Linked DNA regions of Saccharomyces cerevisiae S288C. The protein of the gene in region 1 interacts with the protein of each later gene in a biochemical or structural test. Each region holds a gene or a part of one and is shown on either strand. Other genes may lie near its edges. The genes, in order: RDS2, ERT1, PIB1 and GSM1.

Region 1 (4,858 bases):
AACCACCGTCAGAAGCACCCTTTAGAGCACCGAAAACTCTGGCACCAGTGGTGGTTCTTTGCAAACCAATATCCAAGAAGACCTTGAATGGACGTGGACCATCTTCAACAGCTTCGGTCAATTCGTATTCACCTTCAACTTCTTCAACACCCTTGTAAGTTTCGTCCAAACCCAACTTTTGCAAGGTTCTTCTGGCGATCAACAAACCAGTAGCGTAAGCAGCAGCCCAGTTGGTCAAACCGTGGGTAATACCGTATCTTGGCAATTCGTGGGAGTAGGCAGCAGCTAAGACGACATCACCAGTGATGGTAGAAGAGATGATTTGACAGATGATATCCTTGTTAGTGAATCTAACAACCAATCTGTACTTTGGAGTGTTGTACTTGGCCTTGTGTTGGGTGACCAATCTCTTTCTTTGGTAGTAATCAGTCTTACCTTCTCTTCTTCTTCTGAAAGGAGTTTGGAAACGAGAGGAGTAAGCAGAGGACTTAGCGTCTTTTTGGAAAGCCATTGTTGCTGAGATTTGTGACGGTGTCTTTTATTTTGAAGTGTAGGAGAAAACAAAAGTAAAGGTTGGCCTCTGAAATATACTACATCGGATATGTCTACAAACTTTTCTATTTATTTTTTTTTTTTTCAAAGCATCTGGCGACTACTGGGATCTGCGACGCTAAGTGAAGCCTCTGAAATTTTCGGATGTGAGCGATTCCGCATTGAAAGCCACCAGAAAAAAAAAAAAGAAAAAAAAGAGAATATTTCAATAATTTTTTTTGCTTTATGGGTGTTTTAGGATGTCTGGATGTACAAGTTAGCTGTCTAGAAAAGCTGTATCACATGAACAAGAATCTTCATTTCTTCATTTCTATGACGGCTAGAAAACAAAGATTTGATGATTACAAGAAGTTCGGTGCCGTGATTATATGCTTAAAACATCTCAATATGAAGTCATGGTGTTTTACTTAATTCAAAAGCATAACAGTATTTATGTACATTGAATGACTTTGTATTTACAATTAATTTGAGTTGTCTTTCCTTGTGTCTATAACTTCTGGGGATAAAATAGCAGCATTAGCCAATGACGCTGCTTTTTCATCTGCATTCATCTCAGGCTCCTTTTTAGAGTCACTTACAGCTGTACCATCACCATAATGAGCTCTGAAGAATGTGTAATGTAAAATAATATCATCGATATTTCGCATCGCTGGATCGCTAGCAAAATCTGGATCGATAAAAAAGAAGACAGGCATATCTATTTCTTCACCGGCAGCTAGCTTTTGTTCTTCAAAGCAAAAACATTGGATTTTATTAAAGTATTGAGCTGCTTCACCAGGCGCTATGCTATAAGTAGCCATACCAATAATATCTTTATCGCTGTAATTCTTGGCTTTATAAAAAGCGAGGGCTGTTTCACCAGGCAGAACGTAAACCTCACGTTGTTGAGGAACGAATTTCCACGGTAAAATTTGTGATACTTCACTGGTGAATGAGATACGAATTCTCTTCTCAGTATCTACAGGAATGAGTTTATCGTCGGTAAATTTTCTTCTATCTGTTATGGGAATCCCACCAAAACCAGTACGAGCACAAATGGCTCTATAGAGTGGTACCGCTGCATATGCCAAACCCAAGAAAAGTACCGCGACGCTGCTGAAATAAAATGCAACCGTACGATCTTTAAATTTTCTCTCCCTTGCTCTTTTCAACTCTCGCAATTGCTGGATTTCATTTCTAGTAAGTTTTGAAATATCAAATGTATGTTTTGGTTGTTCGCTGTTCACTGAATAACTTCTCAATGCAACGTTTTTGCATATGGCCCGCCTTAGAGCTAGCGCATGAGGTGCCAACCATGAGTCGGATCTAAGAAAAGTTCCTAACAGTGGAACCTTAGATCTAACAATGGGACATATTCTTATCATGACAATATTAGGGAATTTTGGCTGCAATATTATTTGTTTGTGCGCTGAAGTGCTATTTCACCTGCGACAGGAATATTATTACTTTAAAGAAGATACTTAAGCGTTCGCTGCCCCTTTAGACTCTTCACTGTTCTTTGATTTGTATTGGTTAGTATCTATGTCCTTAAAAGATATATCATGTTTCATCCGTCAAAGGGCATTGGTTAGGGAAAGGGTTTTCCAATGGTTACGCTGTTTTTCCTACAGATCCGCTCCTTAGATGGGGAGAATAATGTTTTGGAATGGCAGAAAACAAGAAAAAGCAAAACAAAGAGTACGAAGGAAAATGAAAAATAGTTGAATATTAGAAAAAAGGATGAGGTCTCTGGGATGGAAGAAGAAAGTAATTCTTATGAGAAAATTTGCGGGAGTTCTTTGCCAGTGAGATAAAGTTTTTTTTAATTTTAATCAACACAAAATACACATATTTATATAAACTGACGAAATAATGTCAGCAAACAGTGGTGTAAAACGAGCCAGTAAGGCTTTTAAAACATGTTTATTTTGTAAACGGTCACATGTTGTATGTGATAAGCAACGTCCATGTTCTAGGTGCGTCAAGAGGGATATTGCCCATTTATGCAGGGAAGATGATATTGCGGTTCCAAATGAGATGCCATCACAGCACGAAAGTTCTCCGAATGATAATAATATACAGGGCAAATATGCAAATAAAGCACACACTGGAATTCCGTCTGACTATCAGAATGAACCAGTCAATAAAAGTGGATCCACATATGGAGAGGAACTGTCACCGAAACTAGACTCCTCTCTTGTAAATGATACAACCAGCTTGCTGCTTCCGCAACAACCTGTATTTGTGTCCGAGAATGTTGGTTCGGAATTCAGTTCTTTGAATGAATTTCTTTCTATGCTAGAAAATCCTCTATTGACTCAAACATCACTAAGTTCCAGCAGTGCGAGCAATGTTCATTTGGAAAATGGCTCACAAACCACACAATCGCCATTAGAGTACCAAAACGACAATCGTAGGGATGAAATAGGAGTGGCAAGACAAGAAAATAGGTCGCCTACTATTATGTCAGGTTCTTCCAATAGTATCTCGAAAGGGGATAAACAAGATCAAGAAAAGGAAGAGTCTCGAATTCTAGCGAATGCAAACGAAAACAGTGCACCGACACCGAAGGAACAATTCTTTTTAACAGCGGCGGATCCGTCAACAGAGATGACACCAGAACACCGGCTGAAGTTGGTCATAAATGCGAAGCTTGAAGCAGGATTATTGAAGCCGTATAATTATGCCAAGGGGTATGCAAGACTACAAGACTACATGGACAAATATATGAATCAGTCTTCCAAGCAAAGGATTCTGAAACCACTATCCACCATTAGACCGGCGTTTAGAACCATTGCGCGTTCATTGAAGGATGTTGACTTAGTTTTAGTGGAGGAGAGCTTCGAGAGGATGTTATTATCTTATGATCGTGTTTTCACCTCTATGAGCATGCCAGCGTGCTTGTGTAGGCGTACCGGTGAGATTTACAGAGCCAATAAAGAGTTTGCTTCACTGGTTGACTGCACAGTCGATGATTTACGCGATGGAAAGCTTGCGATCTACGAGTTGATGACAGAAGAAAGCGCTGTGAATTTCTGGGAAAAATACGGGTCCATAGCGTTTGATAAGGGTCAGAAGGCTGTTTTAACAAGTTGTAGTCTTCGAACCAAAGATGGAATCCGCAAACGGCCATGCTGTTTTAGTTTCACTATCAGAAGGGATAGGTACAACATCCCAATTTGCATCGTCGGGAATTTCATCCCTTTGTCATAAGCATAAGTAATACATAGTAGGTAATTGGTATTTCCAGCGTCATTAAAAAGCAAAGTAACGGGTTTACTTTTTCCTCAAGCCGCTGGCCCGAGCAGTTACTTGAAATAGCCGTATTACTACGAGCAATACGAAGACCTTTTTCTACCAGCATTTGTTTTTTTTCAAATCATTCCCATTATTACCCCAGGATCTTTTCATAATGCGGCGACCAGAGATAGGGAAAAAAACTGCGAACTGGCTGAATCTGATTTGGCGAAGGGCAGATTCTCGGGTATTTCTGTGAGGGTGACCGCCGTTGATATATATCAGTGACTTTTGGGAACCTTTATCTCATTTATTCTCAAGATAGAACTGTAACGAGGGTGAAAGAAAAAGAACTGTAAGATGACATCTATAGATAATAGACCTTTGCCGTTCATATACCAGTTCACAGCCGGTGCCATTGCCGGCGTCTCGGAGCTATTGGTGATGTATCCATTGGACGTGGTGAAGACAAGAATGCAATTACAAGTGACAACCAAAGGTCATCCCGCTGTTGTTGCAGCGAAAGCAGCAGTAGATCACTACACGGGCGTGATGGATTGTCTTACAAAAATTGTGAAGAAGGAAGGATTTTCGCATCTTTACAAGGGTATCACATCGCCTATATTAATGGAGGCTCCGAAAAGAGCAATTAAGTTCTCCGGAAACGATACATTCCAAACGTTTTATAAAAAGATTTTCCCCACGCCCAATGGGGAGATGACTCAAAAAATCGCCATATACAGTGGTGCGTCCGCTGGCGCCGTGGAAGCCTTTGTCGTCGCGCCTTTTGAACTAGTGAAGATTAGATTACAGGATGTGAATTCACAGTTCAAGACACCCATTGAAGTTGTAAAGAATAGTGTTGTGAAAGGTGGTGTTTTGTCACTTTTCAATGGGTTGGAAGCCACTATCTGGAGACACGTTCTTTGGAATGCCGGTTATTTCGGTATAATATTCCAAATTCGGAAGCTTTTGCCGGCGGCTAAAACAAGCACGGAAAAGACCAGAAATGATTTGATCGCAGGTGCTATTGGTGGCACTGTCGGGTGCTTGTTGAATACACCATTTGACGTGGTAAAATCTAGGATCC
Region 2 (4,902 bases), on another chromosome or scaffold:
TGACTCACGCAGAGTACTCGCGTGCAATTGCTTGCAGGTATAATATATACATATATATATATATATATATATATATATATATATATGTACAATTTGTATGACAAGTGGGTGCACCTTTCTCGGTCGGAATTATATGGGGAACTAATACTACGGGTTAGAGCTATAACAATTTCTGCACACTTTAAAAGCGTTTTCATTTCATTTCACCACGTATATATATAGCCTATATATATATCCGCACTAGAACCAAATGGTCAATAGTAAGAGGCAGCAGAGAAGCAAGAAAGTAGCGTCATCCTCCAAAGTGCCCCCCACCAAGGGGAGGACATTTACTGGGTGCTGGGCATGCAGATTCAAGAAACGCAGATGCGACGAGAATAGACCAATCTGTTCACTGTGTGCCAAACATGGAGATAATTGTAGTTACGATATCAGACTTATGTGGTTAGAGGAGAACATCTACAAAGTACGCAAGCATTCACTGATCAGTTCATTACAGGCTCGCAAATCGAAATCGAAACCATTGTGCCAGAAAATCTCAAAATCAAGGTTTAAACAAATGACCCATTTTAGACAACTATCACCCCCGACAAGTGACTGCGAAGACAGCGTGCACGAGGCAAGTAAGGAAACTACGCTTCCTAACGATAATACATTCACCATAAGCGTACGGAGATTGAAGATATACAATAACGCTGTGGCCTCTGTCTTTGGTAGCATGACAAATAGAGATTATACTCAAAAGCGCATAGACAAGAAGTTGGACGAATTGCTTAATATGGTGGAAAACGACATATCTGTGGTCAACCTCAATTGCTCCAAACACGGGCCTTACTCAGTTTTCAGGGCCAATCCGGCTGCAGTTACCTCTGCTCTTACAGATCAGCTGCCGTCGCCGGGTCATTCGATGTCGTCAGCAGAGGAAACCACTACTGCAGCGCTGTCATCGCCGCCAGAAGACAGCACCTCTTTGATCGATATTATCCAAGGCAAAATTTTCGGGATCCTATGGTTTAATTGCTACGGGAACATGATATTGAACCGACAAGAATACACGACGTGGTTCATCAATAAGATGAGGAACTCGTTGACCACGGAATTCATACGCTTCCTTGGGAAAATAATTGACGACCCGGACATCAATATGGCCTCGTGCCTGTTCAAAGAGTGCATCGCTCGTTGGAGTTGTGTCGATTGGCAATCCATAGCTATAACAATGCTGGTCATCATTCATGGATATACCTGCCCCAACTTGACAAAGCTTCTAAGAGTGTGGTTTCTCCAGCAAAAGCTATTGAGATTTTCGATGTATCCGCTGGTCAACTTTATCATAAACAATACACAAGATTTAGACGTCCTGTACCATTGTAATGGATTGCTAGGGAATGCCGACTTATTCGAGGATCCCTACCAGGACGAGCTTACGTCGGAGTTACATGTCTTGGTCACGGAGCGCCTAGTGAATAGTTGGAAAGATACAATATTGCAACAACTTTGCTCATGTCAAGATACCACACTTTCATGTTCCCAACTGCGGTACTGGCAGCTACAACTGAAGTGTAATCAACAATTTTACAAGGATGTATATGCCATGCAGGACTAGGCTTATTGAGCCTTCCCTTCACTCATTTCAAGAAAAAAAAAGCCAAAAGCTTTGCTTGGATATTATACCCATTTTTAACGACATATTTTTTCCCACTACTTTAGATAGAAATTCATGATATTTTGTTTTATATTATATATGTATATATATATATGCACGAAAAAAAATTAAAGTTTATCACTGGGAGATAGGGTTTCCTATCTGCCAGGGTGAAACGTTTATTTTACTGATTTCTTTGTCTTTACTGACATTTATCGGATATCTATCTATCATTCTGAGCCTATGCTTTTTGTTAGCCGTAGACTAAAAAAAAAAAAAAATTGAAGGAAAAGAAATGAAAAAAGCAAATGAGTTGCAATTTTAGTATATTGTAAAAGAGTAACCACATAAAAAAACTAAACAAGAGCCGGTGCAACGGCATTACTCTCTTAGATAAAATTGCTAGTTATATAAAGTCAGGATACTCTTGAGCTATTTTTATCATTTCTTTTGGGTACAACAGACACACGAAGGTATAAAAATAAAATACATTGATGAATCATCGTGATGTGCACTCCAGATGAAAACGATTACAAAACATCAACTGACCCAGATACATCTGCAAATACAAATCATACTCTCGAAAAAAAGAAGAGAAAAAAGAGAAAAAACACAAACGTGGCATGCGTGAACTGTTCGAGATTGCATGTGTCATGTGAGGCCAAAAGGCCATGCTTACGATGTATCAGCAAGGGCCTCACGGCTACATGCGTTGACGCTCCAAGAAAGAAAAGCAAGTACTTGGCTGGAATACCGAATAGAGAGCTCCCAATGAACATACAACCGGACCTTCCACCCCGCAAGATCATGATACCCATTTATAACAACTCCAGCAATAGTAGCCTCAACGTAAATAACATGGGAGAACAGCAAAAATTCACCAGCCCACAACATATAGTTCACAAAGCTAAATTCCTATCGAATGCTGCAGATTCCGAGTACTCTATTCTGTCGAATATCATCTATCAAGACACATTGTCTAACAAGATCCCTATTGACATCCTGTACTCCAACACCAATTCCACATCCAACTCCACAATAGGCAATAGCAGTAACAATAGCCCTACGGGCACAAATACAAGCCCTGAAGAAACAGAAATGGAGAAAATTCGCCAGTTGTACAGCGAACAGCGAGCAAACATACCCCCACATCCGTATCCATCTTCCAATCAAAACGTTTATTCTATTCTACTGGGACCAAATTCAGCCAAGATTGTAGCTTCGCAAGTTAATCTTTTCGCGAACCATTTCCCCTTAGTGCCCGTTGATTCAGCTGATAATTCCTTAAACTTTAAAAGATTATTGCCACGGGACCCATCTGAAAAGAGCTCCCAAATTAATTGGGACTCAAGCATAAACCAATATTACTTGAACAGCGAAACGGTAACATTTCCCGAGTTGGCTATCCCCTTAAAGCGGAGGAAAAACCATTTGGTCTCTGTATCCCTGGAAAGCTGTTCACCAGACGCTGCCAACATCAAGAGCAATGTAGAATGGGAACATTCATTACGTTATTCTACTCCAATGGAAATATACACCTCCATAAATGCCCCCTTTTCGCATACACCTGGATTCCACCATCTTTTGGTGTACCTAAAGCATCGATTCAACCAGCAGGATCTGGTGAAGATGTGTCGGTCCATTGCCGAATTCCGGCCCATTTTCATTGCGTGTTCTGTAACTTTAACCGAGGAGGACATGATTTTTATGGAGCAATGCTACCAAAGAACTCTATTAGAATATGTAAAATTTATTGCACAAATCGGTACCCCGACATGTATTTGGCGAAGAAATGGTCAAATTTCTTATGTCAACGAGGAATTTGAAATTCTATGCGGATGGACAAGAGAGGAGCTACTAAACAAGATGACTTTTATCGTAGAGATCATGGACGATGAAAGTGTACGCGATTACTTCAAAACGCTCTCTAAAGTTGCATATAGGGACTTCAGAGGATCTGAGAAGATGAAAGTTTGCAGGCTCTTAAGCCCCATCAAGGGCAAGATAATTCATTGTTGCTGTATGTGGACATTAAAAAGAGATGTCTCTGGTTTGCCCCTCATGATCTTGGGTAACTTCATGCCCATACTCAATTGACTTTTTTTTTCTTTTTTTCTCATTTTACTACCTCGTATTATATAATACCTATGCATAGACCAAAAGTAAGTCAAGAACTGTGTTCTTTTAAAAGTGTTAACAGATTCCAGCAATTTTACTTGAAGCCTTGACCAGTTTCGTAGGCGTCTGCTCATTCTGGTCGATATCCAGAGGCTCGAGCACATATAACGAAGGGCCCCTATTGTGTATATGGCGGCCTTTACGAATCTTCCGATATTGGGTAGCTCCGTTTTTCTTCCCTTTTTTTTTTTTTTTTTCTTAAATTTCTTCTTCTTTTTTTGCTCTTCGTTTTATTTCACTCACCTGTTGTCGAAAAAAACATCAGGCGTATACCATCAAAAAACTCAACCAATTGAGCTAGTTTCACTTTCTGTACGCATGAGTTTCCAATGTCTCACAGGGCATGTCTCACACACCACCGCCTTCCACCTTACATAACGAACTGCGGAAAAACAGCATGCCACATGGTACCTAACTGGAAAAATAGCAGCAGTCCTCTTCATATTGTTTGCTTCGTTGTTCATTTTCTCGAAAAATTTCTCTTCTTTTCTTGCCTTGATAATATGTAAAAAAGCTTAAACTTTCAGGCAACTTTTCCCATATTGTTTTTCCGTGTGAAGGGACGAGTGCCTGCAGTGAACTGCTCGTACAAGAGAGGCAATTTCATAGATCCTCTGATTCTGCGGTAATTTCTCAGAGGACAGCACTCTGCACGAGCTTTGTGTGTGCACCAAAAGAAACGGGTTTCTTTCGGAGAAAAAAAGAAAAGAAAATTTTTTCAACCTTGCTCAAGTTATGCCATGGACATCTCGAAGAAAGTCAAAATAAGGCAATAAAGAAACTTTGTCGTTCAGCACTGAAGTTACATATCGCATTGGTTATATCTATAGAAACCCTTTTCCTTTCATTCTTCTCTCAGTTTTTTTTCTTGAATACAGTACGTTCTATAGTTGGATCGAGGTTTTAAAAACGTGTGATTAGCTTGATATTTCTTACTCTAATTGCTTTTCTATCTTGCAAATCTGATCCTATGATCCGTTTAGCTCAGCAAACACAAGTACTGAAGGGCAAACCCCCAAACCAGTTTGTTCCACATCCGACAAAGAATTCGCTGACTCATCCAATGAAATTTAACGGTACAA
Region 3 (4,457 bases), on another chromosome or scaffold:
TTTTTAGTGTAGATGCATCTCATCGACGGGCTTGTATGAATGATATTAAATAGGCAAAATAAACTAGTCTAGCTAATATTCGACTAAATTGCAGCTGCTAGGTCACCATCCCGCACATACCTTAGATATTTTGGAACTAATGGCTAAAAGAAGGCAGAAAAAGAGAACGCATGCGCAGATCACACCCGAGCAGGAACGAGATATTCCTAAATCCATGGTAATCAGAGTGGGACAAACTTCATTGGCTAACCATTCTCTAAACCAATTAGTAAAGGATTTTCGCCAGATCATGCAACCGCATACGGCCGTAAAACTAAAAGAGCGCAAGTCCAATAAACTGAAGGATTTTGTTGTTATGTGTGGCCCATTAGGTGTTACGCATCTTTTCATGTTCACTCAATCTGAAAAAACAGGAAATGTCTCGCTAAAGATAGCTAGAACTCCACAAGGTCCTACTGTTACTTTTCAAGTATTGGACTATTCACTGGGTAGAGATATCAAAAAATTTTTGAAGAGACCTAAATCGTTAAATAATGATGATGTATTAAATCCTCCATTGCTAGTGTTAAATGGGTTTTCCACATCGAAAAGATCTGATGAAGACGATCAGGATGTAAACGTGGAGAAGGTTATTGTTTCCATGTTCCAGAATATTTTCCCACCTCTGAATCCTGCAAGAACTTCGTTGAATTCTATCAAACGTATATTTATGATCAATAAAGACAGAGAAACGGGGGAAATTTCTATGCGCCACTATTTTATTGACATTCGAGAAGTAGAGATCTCTAGAAATCTAAAAAGGCTTTATAAAGCCAAAAATAATCTAAGTAAAACAGTGCCGAATTTGCATCGAAAAGAAGATATTTCTTCTTTGATATTAGATCATGACTTAGGCGCCTATACATCAGAATCTGAAATTGAAGATGACGCTATTGTGAGAGTGGTTGATAATCAGGACGTGAAGGCAAAACATTCTCAAACTTCGCTGTCGCAAAAAACACCCGTTAAAATGACAGATAACGAAGAACGTGAAAAAGGAATTGAAGAAGAAGATGTGGAAATGGAGGAACCTAAGCCTTCAGAAAATTCGCAACCAACTCCACGTAAGAAGGCTATCAAACTGACTGAATTAGGACCAAGATTAACTCTAAAACTGGTCAAAATAGAAGATGGTATTTGTTCAGGTAAAGTATTACATCATGAATTTGTTCAAAAATCAAGCGAAGAAATCAAAGCCTTAGAAAAGAGACACGCTGCAAAAATGAGGCTGAAGGAACAAAGAAGAAAGGAACAAGAAGAAAACATTGCTAAAAAAAAGGCTGTTAAAGATGCTAAAAAGCAACGTAAATTGGAAAGAAGAAAAGCTAGAGCAGAAGAACAGGGTGAAGGTCAAGGGAAAGATGGTGCAATGAGCGATGATGGATCTTCATCGAGTGAAGATGAGCATTATAGTGATGTACCAGAGGATTTGGATAGTGACTTATTCAGTGAAGTAGAATAATGCACGATATGTATATATATCCTCCGTACGTAACATCACTATCCATATAGTAGCCATGACTCCGATGGACTTAAAGAACCAGGAAGTGTCTGTTTATTCATAGGTGAGGGAACACCTCAAAGTAAATATTAATGAATATATAAGATCATAATTAAACAAATATATAGAAATCTTTTACAATTAAAGAAAAAAATAAAAGAAAAGGGAAGTTAAAACTTCGATTATTAACAGCTGAAAAATTAAACTTTGTAATGAAAAGCAAATTGGGAGTTATCGTTAAAATACGGCATCATGGAAAGGACAAAAGTTCCTTTTAACAAAAGCATGTCCATTTCCCTTCTGGGCTGCAGTCATTTGCGCCCTTTTGTGAAACCAGTTCTTAATACACTTATAATGGAAAACACACAAGCATTCTAGTCTCCCAACTTTCTCACCGGGTTCCATATTCTCAAAACAAATCGGGCACTCCTTAATTGCATTATCTGTTGTATTAGGCGATATCTTGTACACTAACATTCTATTTTGAAAGGCAGGGCTTTCTTTTACGGAGTCATCTGCTGCATCTGACGTATTCGTATGTTGTTGGGCATTTTCAGCTCTCTGTATGCAATCCTCTACGTGCTTTCTGGTCTCTTCTTCATCAGGAAACTGTGTGAGATCTGAGTTACAAATAGGGCAGAAGTGATCCTCCTCGTTTTGTGAACTTTCTTCGCTCCTGCATGCCGTACCGGATTGATCTACCGAATCTTCCAGGATTTCCGCGTCTTCATCAGTGTTGCTATCTGGTGCAGAAAGTGCAAGTGCATTTGGTGGTACCGAAGTTTGCGATAGTCGTACATCTCTGTTGGTGGAGGATACTAGTAGATTTAAATGAAGGAGGTTATCGTAGCACTCATTACAAGTTCTATATGGAGGCGATTCCACGTCGCTATTTTTTTTCTGCAAGGCATGGACTCTCTTTTTATTATAATTAACAAAATTTTCGGTACAAGACGAACAAAATATCCTTCCACAACACCTACAATGGTGTCTTCTTACGAGAAACGAAAAGTTCGTCTTGCATTGAAAACAGCTGTGAGCTTCCTCGTCTGCCTGCCACCTGGCAAGATTATTGATACAGTCCTCTTTAATAACCATGCGCTTTAGTTCTTCATATGTTCTTTTCTAGCAGAAAAAAAAAAAAAAAAACAGCAGTAGTGTACAGTGTTTGATCAGGTTATTTCTTAATCGTCCGTCCCCTGTTTACTATAAATCCCGAGAATAGTTCTACTTTTTCTTTTCTATTCTTCTCTTCGGTGAGCTGCTTCGATGCCCATTACCCGGATTCCATGATACTCCGCTATTTCACTGGCCCTTATCGAAGATTTCCTTCTCCAGAGATATGATTATGCACAGGCTTCCATACGCTCTATCGATCGTGCAAACATTTATACCCTCTGCGAAACAGCGTCGAATCCATTTTACTTTAGAAAAGGTGAAATACGATGTAGTCAATGGTCGTCCAACGTTTCTTCATTATTTCCAACATTACCGTACTCAGCATTTAATCGATCGTTAACTCGTAGCTTTCTTAATAGAATGTCCCAGAACGAGAGTCCCAGTAGTACTTTAGTTTGCTGCTTCAAAAGCTGGACTGCTTTATAGTCTGTCTCTTTGACTAGAATGCTTTCAATTTTCGGAATGGCATGGCCTTTTTTCTGTTTAAAATCAAATCCACTTACCACATCCAAATACTTGATTTTTTGCATCTTTCTTTTACCTTTGTTATACTCCTTTATCAGGCATTTAATATCAACTTCTTTGCTAAGCGGTATTAATTCAAATCCATCAGGCTTAGTTTCTTTCGAGTAAATTTCGATGTTGCCAAATTTATTTTTATAATGCGACAAATCTGTTATCACATGTTCCTGTCCTAAATGATCGCAATACGTGCTGGGGTATTTAGGAGACTTCATTGTTTGCTCATACGAAAACAATTCTTTGATAACGTACTTGTCTAGGTTTCTTACCATCCTTTCCCTCATCGGTAGATACTTTTTACGTTTTAATGGTTGAGCATTAGGTAGAATGGAACGCCCTAATATTGCCCAGTGCTGTTTACTCTTTAATTGAATGACGTCTCTTCTCCAAAATATGGGCTCTTGTGAATTGTCTCCCTTAGTAAATGTTGCGGCTTGTTTTGCACATGCTTTTAATACTTCATTAGACTTTAACAGAGAGGGAATCACGAAATTATCTGTTCTTTTAATCTCTGTCACACTCTTTGGTAATGTAAAATTAGTTAAAGCAATCTTTTTCATTATTGCGTAATGATGAACAGATGCTTTTTTCTTGTTCAAGACTTTCAACCACTTAGATAGATATTGGTAGCTAGTGTAATGCTTCGATTTCAAAATAGGAGAAGACTCAGATAATTCAAAGTACCTGTAACAAACATTTGGCACATATCTTGGTGAAACATCTTGTAGTACCTTTTCAGCATGATTGATACGGACTACATAATGAAACTTTTGGTTTAGGTTGTACTTCATGTCTACCGAAGGTTGATAAGTAGGGACAAACTGATCTTCGCGTGTTTTCAAGACCATTTCACGTTCACCCAGATGGGCTATAGGGTCAATGATGTATAATTCACCATCGCTCAAAGTAGGAACTTCTAATTCAATCCAAAAATAAGGTTGTATTAGGTCAGAGTCAAATCTGTTGGGAACTTTGCCAATACCATGTTCGATTTGCCACTTCACCTTATTGCACCTAATATCGTAATCGTGCAAGGGCAAGGCAAAGCATAAGTAAAGCTTCTTAGGCCCCGGTAGCACATTTTCTAAGATAATAAAGAAGAACAACGTTAGAATATCTCTGTTGGCCATTTTCCTTTTAGCCATCTTGCGAATATCTTCAACACCATGATTTATCAACGGCCTATTTCCATAAAATTCTTGTTGATTTTCAAGAA
Region 4 (5,592 bases), on another chromosome or scaffold:
GTTGCGTGTAGGGTTGTAACAGCATCAGAGGGAATATATATCCTATTGCTGTTCTCTGGAGAATTACAAGTGGATGCGCCAGAATTTGACACGCTTGATTCGTCTTCAATAGACAGAATTTGAGCCTTTCTTGCTCCTGTTAGATCTTGTAACACCGTACCAACATCAGATTGAGGGATTGTTAGATCAAGATTCATGATGGGTTCCAGAAGGTTGTATTTTTCAGGTTTTAAGTCATTGAGAGCTTTAAAAATTAAGTTTCTAGTAATTTTTAAGATTTCTTGTGGAGTTTCAATATCAGGTGGGACTGACCAATCGCTATTGATTTTGATGGAGCATGCATATAAGGGAAAGTTAGCTATTTTTCCGCCTCTTTGAAGTCCCACAATGCAACTTGCAATAATAGAATTTAGAATTGATTCGAAAGAAACTTGGTATTTCCATTCTTTATCCCAATTACCATTTTTTTCCATTATCAGAAAATTCTCGTTGACTCCTAATGGATATGCAAGGCAGTTAGGAAGGGCATCGGAATTTGGTAGCAGAGATAAGGAGAATCTATATCCATCATCACTCTCATACGTTTCTATATTTGTTTCTGAATTAATTGTTTCTTTGTAGGACACCATCAACTGACCAAATTCAACATCTGCTTTTAGGTCATTAACCAATCGATCCTTGGCAATTTCAAGGTGTAATTCACCCATACCGTTTAAAACCGTTTGGCCAGTCTCATCATTTTGAGAAATTGAAAGACTGGGATCTTCAGTAATTAAAGTGTTTAAAGCTTCTTCCATCGATTTTTTATTACTTAAAGTCCTTGGTTCGATGGAAACACCAAAAACTGGTGGGGGAATGAAGATAGAATTGATTTTTAACGTCAACTCCTTTTTTTTATCAAGTGATTTCAACCCATCCTTCTTCGACGAATGCGTTATTAGTGTATCTCCAGTAGATATGTTGTTTTCGACTGTAGAGCCAGTAAGCAATCCGATTTGGCCCGCAGTTAAAATATTTACAGGTTGTGATGTTCCCGCATGGGGTATCAGTAATTTACCCAATTTAAATTTTTCCCCAGTAGTAGAATTATAAACGGTATTGCCACTGTTTAGTGTACCTGAATAAATTCTAATGAATATTTGTTTACCCCTGATTGGATCCGTAATCACTTTGAATGCAAGAGCAATGCAAAGATTTTTGTTGTTGTTTACTAAACATCCAACTTTGGGGTCATATTTCATTGGAACGGTTTTATCATTTAGTTCTGGTAGTTCGGCTTCAATGGGCGAAGGGAGATAATTAACTATAGCATCTAATAGAGGCTGCACGCCAATATTTTTAAAAGACGCACCGCATAAGACAGGTACAATCATATTCTTCATAGTCAGTTTTCTTATTGAAGCGTTCAAAAACTGTGCGGAAACCTTGGAGTAATCGCCTTCTGCCTCCTCTAAGAAGTGCTGGACTAAATCTTCGTCGTATTCAGTCAAAGTCTCTATCATCGATTCCCTACAACGATTACACTGCTCAAGAGAAGTACCATCCAACTCATCCACGATAATTTCATCAGGATTTTCTGGATTCCAGGTTAATCGCTTCCCATTTACGACGTCAATAACACCTTGGAAAACATAATCATTGCTAGTCGGTTGTTTTCGATAGTAAGGAATGTTTACCAACACCGGTTTGGTAGTTGTTCCTCTCATAAATTTATTTATCAAGTCATTGACTGTATGGTTGAAACTCGCCCCCATACGATCCATTTTGTTGATAAAGCAGATTTTGGGCTTCGATTTACTTTGCTTCCAAACCTTCTCTGTCTGTGCCTCTACGCCGGCAACAGCGTCCAAAATGACCACGCATGAATCAATAACTTTCAAAGCCCTAATCACTTCAAAAGTAAAATCTATATGTCCCGGCGTATCAATAAGATTTATTGCAAAAGTATTTCGCCATGGGAATGAAATCGCAGCGCTTTGAATTGTGATACCTCGGGATCTCTCCTGCTCTAAAAAATCAGTTATCGTATCGCCAGTGTCGACGTCTCCAATATGCTTTGAGATTCCTGCATAATAAAGCATCCTCTCTGTTGTGGTAGTTTTACCTGCATCGATATGGGCTATAATTCCTATATTTCTAACCTTAGACAGTGGACTTCTTGCGGTCGATAAGTATCTACTTCCAACGTTAATTACACTTAATCGGTTCTTGCTAATGTTTACTCTTGCGCCCGCCCATCTGCGCACATTCCATTTCCACATAGCCTCCCTCACTTATCTTGCCCCTTTTGTATATCTCTGACTGCCGTTTTGCCACCAGAAAGCTTGTTGATCTATTTCACATTATCTTCTTTTAACCGCCCAGCCTCCGCGCCGTCGTCGTTCTCTGTGCTGATTGGTTATCTCCCCTCTCACTAAGGGAAGGCCTCAAAAATTGTCGAAATGAGAAGAGGCTGAAACGATTTACTAATCATCATAGCCTGCTTAAACGAGTTAACACTAAGGGGAAGGGTACGACTATCATTTGTTCGGATCTCTGAACCGGATATTTTCTTTGTTACACACATCAAGTTTTTGCATGAATAGATCATATTTCGAATGATTTAACGTATTACAGCTTAGCAATAAAGGGAGTAAAGAAATAATATATTTGGATACAGCATACAAGAATATATATACATATGACCAAAAAACTACCTTCAGAGTTGAAACAGACGAGAAAGTCTATCCAGACAGCTTGTGAATTCTGTCATACCAAACATATACAGTGTGACGTAGGGAGGCCATGTCAAAACTGTTTAAAAAGAAATATTGGGAAGTTTTGCAGAGATAAGAAAAGGAAATCAAGAAAACGAATTGAGAAGCATGGAACACAACCATACTTGAATTTGGGGAAGAGGCTGGTAATACATGATGTGCCGTCGAAGACGGTATCCCCCTCAAGCGTACATCTGCAGCGAGATTTTCTATCTTCAGATCAGGAAAAACCAGGCAAAACACCTGCCCACAATACGAATATCCAATATACGTATAATATAAATGATAACTTTCAAAGCGCTGGATCTATTCCACGTATTACGAACTTCAATACGAATAACCGCCAGACCGTCTTAGAAAATACTTCTAATAATATATCAGCTTCACAAGCAGTACATTTAATGAATGACCCCATCATACCCACCGTACGGAAGAGTACTCTCAATTTAAAGTCGCATTTCCTAGAGCAACATAAAGCAATGCAGCAGCCGCTGGCTACCAATTGTTTGGTTGCTACTTCAAACGTTCCTGTGCACTCTGGAATGGACGATAGTAATAAGAGTGACGATGATGTCGATGACGAAACTAATATTCACTTTGATAGTATGTGGTGCAATGACGAATACATGAAATTAAAGGATATAGTAGATATTTCAACGCCGTTTTTACCGAATAACTCCCAGATATTTTCCCTCCAAGAATCAGAATATCCCAATCCTAGCGCATCTACACGGGGAAATTCGTCATTGCATTTAACGAACCTTTTAAACTCGACAAAAAGCGTGAATGACCAAAAGGACTCCTCGATCGGCCATTCCACTTCTACTTTCAATACATATGATGAAGTAGTGTCTAGGCCCTTTATATCTTTAGACATGCTGCATTTGAATCGTGGAGCAAACGCTAATACACACCCATCACATAACGCCAAACTGGAAAGCGAATGTGACAGTTCTAGTCACTCCGATGCAGATCTGGAGAAACATGATACCGATTTCATATCACCTTCAAAGTTTCGTGAATTAGTAAAGACTCCTCAAGACCTATATGACAATAAATGTTTAATAAAACCGCATAATTACAAGCTCGCATACACCAAACTGCTAACTACTTTAAGAAAAAAATTTCTTGAAGGAGCTGAAATTGATAAATCTGCCTCAGTAAAAGACGAACACAGTACCCAAAAGCATAATTTGAGATATGATTTAGAAGTTATAATACGCTCTATACTAGAAAGATATGCTCCAATTTTCATTTCGTTAACATCCAATATGATTGAAGAGGATTTGCTATTACAGGAAGTTACCTTGCAAAGGGCTTTATTAGATTTGGAGAACATGGCAAAATTAGTAAGCTGCACACCGATGTGCATCTGGAGAAGATCAGGCGAGATTTGTTTTGTCAGTAACGAATTCTATTCTTTAACAGGTTTTAACAAAAATTTACTATTAGACCGCACCTCCTTTATTTTTGAATATCTGGATCATAAAAGCGTTTCGAATTACTTTCAAATATTTAACGAATTGCTGGCATTTGGTTACAATGATATCAATAAAAGGAAAAAACTATTGATGTTGAACGCATGTTCTTCTACCTCGTCAAAAATTACAGAAGGGTTTTCTTTTACTACGGATGGAAAAGCAATCTTTACTAAGTGCAATTTATTATTAAGTAACGGTCTTTATTTGAAGTGTGCCTGTTGTTGGACAGTAAAAAGGGACTCGTTTAATATCCCAATTCTCGTAATGGGACAATTTTTACCAATTTTTGAAATGGACTGATCACTATTTTTTGGGCTTATTACTGATTACAGTTTTTATATGCATTCTGTCCGTTTCTTTGATTTTATCGCTTATTTTTTACTTAGGTTGGCAATTCAGTATTCTTTAGCGTTTCTTTTTTTTATTTTACTTTCCGTATCAACAATAATATTTATATTTATGTACAGTTTTACATTGTAATTTAGTTTCTCAGGAATTCGTCAAAAATGTAAAATCATCCATTGAAAACCTTCTTCCCTGAAGAATTTTAAGCATAACTTTATATTTTTAAACAAGGTGGATCTAGAAACTTTGTATTAATTACAAGAATTTATAATATTATTCGGGAGCAACAATATGGATTTCTTGCCAGTAAAACCCTACCTATTACTTCCCTCTTTATTATTAGCCGGGTCACACTAAATTGAAAAATTTGTTCTTTCCTGTTTTTGGAGCAACAGAAAAGTATAAATAGAGCTAGTGTTGTCCGATTGGCAAAAACTTCTTCCCTTTGTTACTTCTTCTTTAAAATTCAAATTTTTCTTTTGATTTTTTTTCAAAAGGCTAACATCAGTAGTGGTTAATACTATCTTTAGATAATATTAATTTCATTATACCATAGAAACCTAAAGATTAGGTTATTTTCGTTCTTCATGTTATGGAGTGTGAGTGATGAGGAGCTTGCTCTTTTAAGCTCATATTACGTAATAAGTTAATACTGGAGCGAGAATAATTTAAATCATTTCATCATAACCCATAGCTGAATGAACTTTGACTACTCCTAAACAAAGTAGTAACAATTTTCATTTCGTTTCCGGTTTCTTAGATCGAATATTATTCTGAGGAAATTCCCTGATTACATATCAGGGAAAGGTTCGCGTTTTTAGAGAATTGCGTAATGCGATTTGAAAGTTTAAATTCCTAAGCGACTCTTCTTCATGATAAGACAGTTTATATTTTGTATACTTTCTCATTCCCATAATTTGTAGTGCCTACGGGGATGGACTTGTCTTGGTACCAACTGACGGTACGTTCTGATGCTGCCTTGCTTGTGCTCCAACATTTTTTTTTTAATT

The links.
Region 2: the proteins of RDS2 (region 1) and ERT1 form a complex in vitro, tested with the Saccharomyces cerevisiae proteins (one study listed by BioGRID).
Region 3: of the proteins of RDS2 (region 1) and PIB1, one has a biochemical effect on the other in vitro, tested with the Saccharomyces cerevisiae proteins (one study listed by BioGRID).
Region 4: the proteins of RDS2 (region 1) and GSM1 form a complex in vitro, tested with the Saccharomyces cerevisiae proteins (one study listed by BioGRID).

What each region holds. Positions count from the first base shown.
Region 1 is NC_001148.4:298,774-303,631, reverse strand, and holds RDS2 (gluconeogenesis transcription factor RDS2), read left to right. Parts: upstream 1-2,403; coding exon 2,404-3,744; downstream 3,745-4,858. Other genes in the region: 60S ribosomal protein uL18 RPL5, read right to left, coding at 1-511; COX11 (Cox11p), read right to left, coding at 1,014-1,916; ODC1 (mitochondrial 2-oxodicarboxylate carrier), read left to right, coding at 4,129-4,858. UniProt on the Saccharomyces cerevisiae protein: Transcription factor which regulates the expression of genes for gluconeogenesis, the TCA cycle, and glucose metabolism. Involved in the cell wall remodeling process and drug resistance.
Region 2 is NC_001134.8:697,191-702,092, reverse strand, and holds ERT1 (Ert1p), read left to right. Parts: upstream 1-2,149; coding exon 2,150-3,739; downstream 3,740-4,902. Other genes in the region: THI2 (Thi2p), read left to right, coding at 251-1,603; YBR238C (uncharacterized protein), read left to right, coding at 4,791-4,902. UniProt on the Saccharomyces cerevisiae protein: Transcription factor which regulates nonfermentable carbon utilization. Activator of gluconeogenetic genes like PCK1. Involved in restriction of Ty1 transposition.
Region 3 is NC_001136.10:1,087,442-1,091,898, forward strand, and holds PIB1 (phosphatidylinositol-3-phosphate-binding ubiquitin-protein ligase), read right to left. Parts: upstream 2,639-4,457; coding exon 1,778-2,638; downstream 1-1,777. Other genes in the region: SSF2 (rRNA-binding ribosome biosynthesis protein), read left to right, coding at 140-1,501; RAD34 (Rad34p), read right to left, coding at 2,992-4,457.
Region 4 is NC_001142.9:227,970-233,561, reverse strand, and holds GSM1 (Gsm1p), read left to right. Parts: upstream 1-2,680; coding exon 2,681-4,537; downstream 4,538-5,592. Other genes in the region: mitochondrial elongation factor MEF2, read right to left, coding at 1-2,261. UniProt on the Saccharomyces cerevisiae protein: Transcription factor which regulates nonfermentable carbon utilization. Binds specifically to 5'-CGGN(8)CGG-3' and 5'-CGGN(9)CGG-3' sequences in the promoter region.